2 linked regions of the Macaca fascicularis genome follow. The protein of the gene in region 2 interacts with the protein of the main gene of each other region in a biochemical or structural test. Links are inferred from orthologs where the notes say so. Each region holds a gene or a part of one and is shown on either strand. Other genes may lie near its edges.

Evidence for each region.
Region 1: the proteins of PLAU (region 2) and SERPINA5 form a complex in vitro, tested with the Homo sapiens proteins (2 studies listed by BioGRID). The link is inferred for Macaca fascicularis from reciprocal best matches to the Homo sapiens genes PLAU and SERPINA5.

What each region holds. Positions count from the first base shown.
Region 1 is NC_088381.1:162,611,376-162,614,892, forward strand, and holds part of SERPINA5 (plasma serine protease inhibitor), read left to right. Parts: exon of another isoform or gene 1-292; intron 293-1,214; 5' UTR 1,215-1,231; coding exon 1,232-1,850; intron 1,851-3,517. UniProt on the Homo sapiens protein: Heparin-dependent serine protease inhibitor acting in body fluids and secretions. Inactivates serine proteases by binding irreversibly to their serine activation site. Involved in the regulation of intravascular and extravascular proteolytic activities.
Region 2 is NC_088383.1:72,532,540-72,536,497, reverse strand, and holds the start of PLAU (urokinase-type plasminogen activator), read left to right. Parts: upstream 1-1,149; 5' UTR 1,150-1,238; intron 1,239-1,542; 5' UTR 1,543-1,573; coding exon 1,574-1,630; intron 1,631-2,083; coding exon 2,084-2,108; intron 2,109-2,253; coding exon 2,254-2,361; intron 2,362-2,966; coding exon 2,967-3,141; intron 3,142-3,332; coding exon 3,333-3,424; intron 3,425-3,581; coding exon 3,582-3,801; intron 3,802-3,958. UniProt on the Homo sapiens protein: Specifically cleaves the zymogen plasminogen to form the active enzyme plasmin.

The DNA of each region.
Region 1 (3,517 bases), on a different chromosome or scaffold from region 2:
CTCCTGGGTGAAGTGGAGGGAGGAAGAGGAGACTGAAGGCAAAGGCCACGTCAGGAGTGATGGGAGACCCCACAAAGGTCCCCCTGAGAAGCTCTCGAGTCAGAGATGAATGCCTCCTCGTCTAGAAGATGAAGAGATGTCTTTGCCTGCATGGGCTGCCGTCACAAAGTCTCACAGGCTAGGGGGCTTCAACAACAGAAATTTCTTTCTTTACAACTCCGGAAGCTGGAAGTCTGAGGCTTAGGCACCGGCAGGATTTGTTCCTCCCATGGCCCTTCTTCTTGGCTCACAGGTGGCTGCCTTCTCACTGTCTTCACCTGGTCTTCCCTCTGTGCGTGTCTCTCTCCTGATCTCTTTTTAATTTTTGTGTAAGGACATAGTCATACTGGGTTAGGGCCCACTCTAGTGACCTCATCCTAACTCAGTCCCCTCTTTAAAAGCCCTATCTCTAAATATAGTCACATTCTGGGGTATTGAAGGTTAGGACTTCAGCATATGCGTTTTGGGGGGCACAATTCAGCCCAGAACAGGAGGACGGTGGAGATGCTCACATGAAGAGGGCAGGCAGAATTCCCTTAGGAGGAGAAGGTGTCCCTCTGTGAGACAAGGGTGGCATGGAGCAGCCCCTGGGGGAAGGAGAAAGGGACAGTTGGCATCCTGGTATCCTGCCTACCCCGGGGAGGATGCTCACTCCATGTGTGCTGAATGAACAGGGCAAGGCCAGCAGTGCTGATGGCCCCAGGCGCGTAACTGGTCTGAGTTCATAGAAGGACCACAGGGCCCTGCCATGTGCCAAACCAGGACACCAGAGTGAAGGCCAGAAGCTCACATGGAAGCAGCTTAGTTCCCTGGTAACCTCGAGATGCTGATGAGACAAAGCAGAGCAGGGGGAATCCTCTCCCTCCATGTCCCATCCTCCAAAATGTGTCCCTTGATGTGGACGGGCGGGGAGGGTTCCTGCCTTGGCAGCCGGGCCTCTGCCTTCGGTCTGCACCTCCTCTTCCTCCTTCCTCTCCCCATTGTCCCTAAATCTTTGTCCTCGAGCCACTGCCGCCCTGTGTAAACCCTCATCCTCAGTCTCGGGGGTGCCATCCCTTCTCTTTGAAGCTGAATGGACCAAACCCACCCATTGAGTGTTGGGTGGGGACATCTCTGGAAAGTCAGTGCCTGGACCAGCCCCACCCCTCTCTGAGGACACCTTCTTTCCCTTTCAGAACAAAGAACAGCCGCCATGCAGCTCTTCCTCCTCTTGTGCCTGGTGCTTCTCAGCCCTCAGGAGGCCTCCCTTCACCGCCACCACCCCCGGGAGACGAAGAAGAGAGTCAAGGACCTCCATGTAGGTGCCACGGTGGCCCCCAGCAGCAGAAGGGACTTTACGTTCGACCTCTACAGGGCCTTGGCTTCTGCTGCCCCCAGCCAGAACGTCTTCTTCTCCCCTGTGAGCATCTCCGTGAGCCTGGCCATGCTCTCCCTGGGGGCTGGGTCCAGCACAAAGAGGCAGATCCTGGAGGGCCTGGGCCTCGACCTCCAGAAAAGCTCAGAGGAGCAGCTGCACAGAGGCTTTCAGCAGCTCCTGCAGGAGCTCAACCAGCCCCGAGATGGCTTCCAGCTGAGCCTCGGCAATGCCCTTTTCACCGACCTGGTGGTGGACGTGCAGGACACCTTCATGAGTGCCATGAAGACGCTGTACCTGGCAGACTCTTTCCCCACCAACTTTGGGGACTCTGCGGGAGCCCTGAAGCAGATCAATGATTATGTGGCAAAGCAAACGAAGGGCAAGATTGTGGACTTGCTTAAGAACCTCGACAGCAACGCAGTCATGGTCATGGTGAATTACATCTTCTTTAAAGGTAAGGACCTTGGGCCCAAACCTGTGCTTTCTCTGGCTTTTCTGCTGCTTTTTTCTAAAGAATTCCCAATTCCCTCACATACATAAAGGACGGGGAGTAGATTAAGTTATTTTGGGTGCCTGCTGAGAAAAATTAAGTAAACAAGTAGCCAGAGAAGGCAAGATGAGTGCCTTCTCTCTGTGGATGGGGTTAGTGAGCCTAAGATGCTGTTTCCTCCATGGAGGAAGAACTGACTGCTGTCTTTGGACCCCTGGGATCATCTGAAGCCCCAGTTTTCATACAGGCTCTGAAGCATGAACCCATTGTGGCCACCATAACAAAGACACCAACATCTCAGCCACTCAGGGCAGGACACGGACCCCAGAAGGGCTTAGAGGGCATTTCCCAGTCCCCCATATGCCCCAGATCCTGGCCCCTCTGCCCTCATAGAGGCCAAGACTCCCTCAGACAAATGCTTCTTCCTCTGAAATGCCTCCCCTGGACTCCTCAGTAAGAGCTGACCTCTGCTTATCTCCCCGACACTCCTTGTAAGCATTTCTGTTCGCGTCTGCAGCTCCTGCCAGGTGCTGACCCTGAGGAAAGCAAGAGTGGATAGAGAGGAGAAGAGAGGAGAGGAGAGAGTGGGAAGGGTTGGGAAGGAAGGCAAATTGTTAACACCTCCCCTTCCTGTGGTCACAGATCGTATCTTTGGCCATTTGGGTGGCTATAACAAAATACCGTAAACTGGGTGGCTTAGCAACAACAAACATTTATTTCTCATAGTTCTGGAGGCTGAGAAGTCCAGGATCAAGGCACTGGCAGATGCAGTGCCCGTTCCTTGGTTCATGACGGTGTCTTCTCAGTATGTCCTTGCTCGAAGGAGCAAGGCAGCTCTCTGTGGTCTCTTTTGTAAGGACACCGATCCTGTTCATGACAGCTCTACCCCTACGAACTAATCAACTCCCAAAGGCCCCCCGTCCTAATACCACCACCTCAGGGTTAGGTTTCAACATATGAACAATGTGGGGACACACACATTGAGACCGCAGCAGTGAGTGTCGAACTTGGACTCTGAGATTTCCTATCCCCTGGTGCAGGGCGGTCCCCATTACACCAGATTGCTGAGGACAACTGGGAAATAAGCTAAGGACGGTATTGGATGGGGTCTTCCTTTGATAGCAATGAAGAAGTTGGAAACAGGCCAGGCGTGGTGGCTCATGCCTGTAATCCCAACACTTTAGGAGGCCGAGATGGGCAGCTCACCTGAAGTCAGGAGTTCAAGACCAGCCTGGCCAACATAGTGAAACCCCGTCTCTACTTAAAAATTACAGAAATTAGCCAGGCGTGGTGATGGGCGCCTGTAATTCCAGCTACTTGGGAGGCTGAGGCAGGAGAATCGCTTGAACCTGGGAGGTGGGGGCTGTAGAGAGCCAAAATTGTGCCACTGAATTCCAGCCTAGGTTACAGAACGAGACTCCATCTCAAATAAATAAATAAAATAAAATAAAATATAATAAAAAGAAGTTGGAAGCAATCACTTGTAGCATTTTGTTCAGAAGTTTCCATAGGAAGGTAAGAGAAGGGTCATTGAAGACTTCCCAATGGGAAAAAGCATTCGTTTCCAGGATCCATACGAACTTCTCTCTAAAACTTAAATTAAAATATTGGGAAGAAAGTGCAAACAGAGA
Region 2 (3,958 bases):
GACAATTTTATTTGATAAACAATTGTTTCTATCCAAATAGAATAAACAAGGCTCTATGATGAAGTAAAACACTAAATACACATGCATTTAAAAATGTGTAATTATCTTTGGAATGGGCTATACAGGGATGTGTTTTTTAAAATGTAAAGAGTGTAAAAGGACATACAGTGAAAAATAAATCTTCCTCTTATTTTGTCCTCCAGTCTTCCAATTCCTCTACTCAGAGGTGAGAACAGAACTTCCACACCCTCCAGAATCTCCACAGTTAACTGTCTACATGTTTCCATTGTCTTTACTTTTATTCTTGCCCGCACAAATAAATGAACTGTTCATTATGAAAACTTCCCAAAAGACCCATTAACACTTCAATAGGAAGCACCAACAGTTTATGCCGTAGGACTTTGTTCCCACAATCCTGTAACATCATATCAGGACACCTAATCCAATCCTTATCAAGCCCTGTCAAAAACGGACTTTAAATCAAACTGCAAATTTTCAGTAATCTGGTCTTGCCTTTCCTCCTCTCTGATAGCACCATCAAACTCCCTTACTGCCGAAAGCAGTAAGTCCGGCTTTGTTCCATCCACTGGTTGTGTTGGTGATATCTAATCTAGGGACTGCCACTGAACAGAGAGGCGCAGAGGGAGCCCCGGCAGGCAGGGGTTTTTGTGTCTGTGTTTCTGGGAGAGTGTGCCTCCTACATTTGTCGCGTTGATGAAGACTTCACAGCTCCATCAGCTGCGGGCAAGGGGGTCTGAGGCCCTCTTAGGCAAGTTGGGGCCCAGCAGGGAGAGGTTGGAGAAGAACTGATTAGGGGACCCCAGGAGGCTTCAGAGCTGGGCGAGGTAGAGAGTCTCCCGTGCGCCTTCTCTCCTCTCTGCAATTCGGGGACTCCGTGCACTGGGGCGGGCCCCGGGCCAGGTTCATGGGAGGAAGCACGGAGAATTTACAAGCCTCTCAATTCCTCAGTACAGACGCTGTTGGGTCCCCTCCGCTGGAGATCGCGCTGCCCCCAAATCTTTGTGAGCGTTGCGGAAGCACGCGGGGTCCGGGTCGCTGAGCGCTGCAGGGCAGGGGAGGGAGCTGGGCGGGAGAGGGCGGGGCGGCGCCGGGGCGGGCCCTGATATAGAGCAGGCGCCGCGGGTCGCAGGACACCGCGGAGACTGCAGCCCCGGACCCCAGCTCAGGGTCCACCTGTCCCCGCAGCGCCGGCTCGCGCCTTCCTGCCGCAGCCAGCGGTGAGTGTCGCGGTATCGAGATCCCCGGGCCGGATGCGTGGTGGCCCCAGTTCCCGAGCATCTGCCTCTCCAGCTCCGGGCTGCCCCGGCTCCCTGGCGGCTACACGGAGTCACCGCGGCCGCTCCCGGGCGTCCCCCGCGGGTGCCGGTCCAGGCTGCCCGGGAGTCCGGAGCCCAGAGAGGAGAGAGACAGCCGGGGCTGGGGAGCCTGGTCACCGCGGGCACCTCCCTTGCACTGCAGTCGCCAGCCTGGCCCGCCTTCCCGCTCCTTCGCCTCTTGCCCTGACTTCTCTTTCCTTTGCAGAACCGCCGTCTAGCGCCCCGACCTCACCACCATGAGAGCCCTGCTGGCACACCTGCTTCTCTGCGTCCTGGTCGTGAGCGACTCCAAAGTGAGTGCTCCCTTGCTTTGACCGATGCCGCCCGAGGACCTCTGATCAGCACCAGGGGAGAGGAGGGGGCTGCTCAGGGAGCGGGGGTCCTCCGGCTTCCATCCATAGCAGGGCCCCTCCGGCTTCCATCCATAGCAGGGCCAGGCTCTCCCCAGGAAATGGGACAGGGTGGCAGCGGAGGCTTGAGAACCACGGGGGTTGGCACTGACCGGCAAGGGAGGAAGAAGCCGCCGGGACTGCCCCAGCCTGCGGGCATCTGGTAGATGAAGCTTGCTTGGGTCAATCTATTTCTCCTTGCTGGAAACCCATGGTCTTCCATGTGAGAATAGATACGAACAGGGTGAGGCGAGAGGGAAGGAAGAGTGGGTTTTGGGACTGGGTCCAGTTTACCCTCACCCTGGAGTCCCTGGAGCATGGGACCTTTGATGAAGCCTCCTCCCGAATCTCTTCCAGGGCAGCCGTGAACTTCAGGTTCCATGTGAGTATCCACCCCTACAACAATTGACTGTACAGACATCTTGGGAAAGCTTCTGGGGACATCCCCTCCCTACCCCTGCTGCAGGGCTGCCCCAGCCCTTATGGCTTCCACTCCCCCTCGCTTACCCCACCTTTGTTCTCTCCAGCAGACTGTGGCTGTCTAAATGGAGGAACATGTATGTCCAACAAGTACTTCTCCAGCATTCACTGGTGCAACTGCCCAAAGAAGTTCGGAGGGCAGCACTGTGAGATAGGTATGGGGATCTCCACTGCAACTGGGAGTTAGGGGGCACCAAAAATTTGGGGACAGGGAGGGATGGGTGGGAGGCAAGAGCAGGCAGGAGTTAGGAGCTAGAGGTGGGGTGGGTGACATCTTCATCCCTATGTGACAAGCATAAACACACTCCTGTGAAGCAATGGCCACACAAATGTGAGGTGCGGTTGGAAGGAGACCCTGTCCAGTCTTCTGGCAGGTCTGAAACCACATCATCTTTAAAATATCCGTTGGCAGCTGGGCGTGGTGGCTCACACTTGTAATCCCAGCATTTTGGGAGGCCAAGGTGAGTGGATCATTTGAGGTCACGAGTTCAAGACTAGCCTGGCCAACATGGTGTAACCCTGCCTCTACTAAAAATACAAAAATCAGCCCGGCATGGTGGTGGATGTCTGTAGTCCCAGCTGCTTGGGAGGCTGAGGCAGGAGAATCGCTTGAACCTGGGAGGCAGAGGTTGCAGTGAGCTGAGATCACACCACTGCACTCCAGCTGGGCGACAGAGCAAGACTTCGTCTCAAAAACAAAAAAGCTCGTTGGAACGTCCTTCTCTTTCTCACATTCTCTCATCCTCCTGTCCCCTCGTAGATAAGTCAAAAACCTGCTATGAGGGGAATGGTCACTTTTACCGAGGAAAGGCCAGCACTGACACCATGGGCCGGTCCTGCCTGGCCTGGAACTCTGCCACCGTCCTTCAGCAAACATACCATGCCCACAGATCTGATGCTCTTCAGCTGGGCCTGGGGAAGCACAATTACTGCAGGTGAGGTGGGGACAACAAGGACCAAGAGTCCTCCCCACAGCTTCCCAGAAACCTTGTTACCATCCCCTTCTCCCGGAGGGCCGGCCATAGCATGAGAGAAGCGCAGTCTCTGGTTGAGTCTTCCCTGAGGGGAGGAGGCAGGGAAGGCCCTCTGGGTTGGAATGACATCCCCTATCTTTCTGTGTTGTCAGGAACCCAGACAACCGGAGGCGACCCTGGTGCTATGTGCAGGTCGGCCTAAAGCAGCTTGTCCAAGAGTGCATGGTGCAAAACTGTGCAGATGGTGAGCATCACTGACCTGCTGATGACAGTGGGGTGGAAGGGGACAAACTCACATGTCCCCTTATTCCATCACAGGAGGGCTGAGGAGGTGAGGGGTGCCCGAGAGGGATGCTTTCTCCTAACCGCCTCCCCAAGACATCCCTCTGTTTGTCCTCCAGGAAAAAAGCCCTCCTCTCCTCCAGAAGAATTACAGTTTCAGTGTGGCCAAAGGACTCTGAGGCCCCGCTTTAAGATTGTTGGGGGAGAATTCACCACCATCGAGAACCAGCCCTGGTTTGCAGCCATCTACAGGAGGCACCGGGGCGGCTCTGTCACCTACGTGTGTGGAGGCAGCCTCATCAGCCCTTGCTGGGTGGTCAGCGCCACACACTGCTTCATGTACGACCCTGGGGTTTCTCCTCTTTGACTCTTCTGCCCCACCCCAAACACATCCCCTTCTCCTTCCCAGCAAAGGGTTCCGCCTCATTTCTCCCTCGTCTGCCCCTCTCCTTGCAGCCCATGGCCTTGGGGACAAGTCATGCTTTGAGGCCTCTAG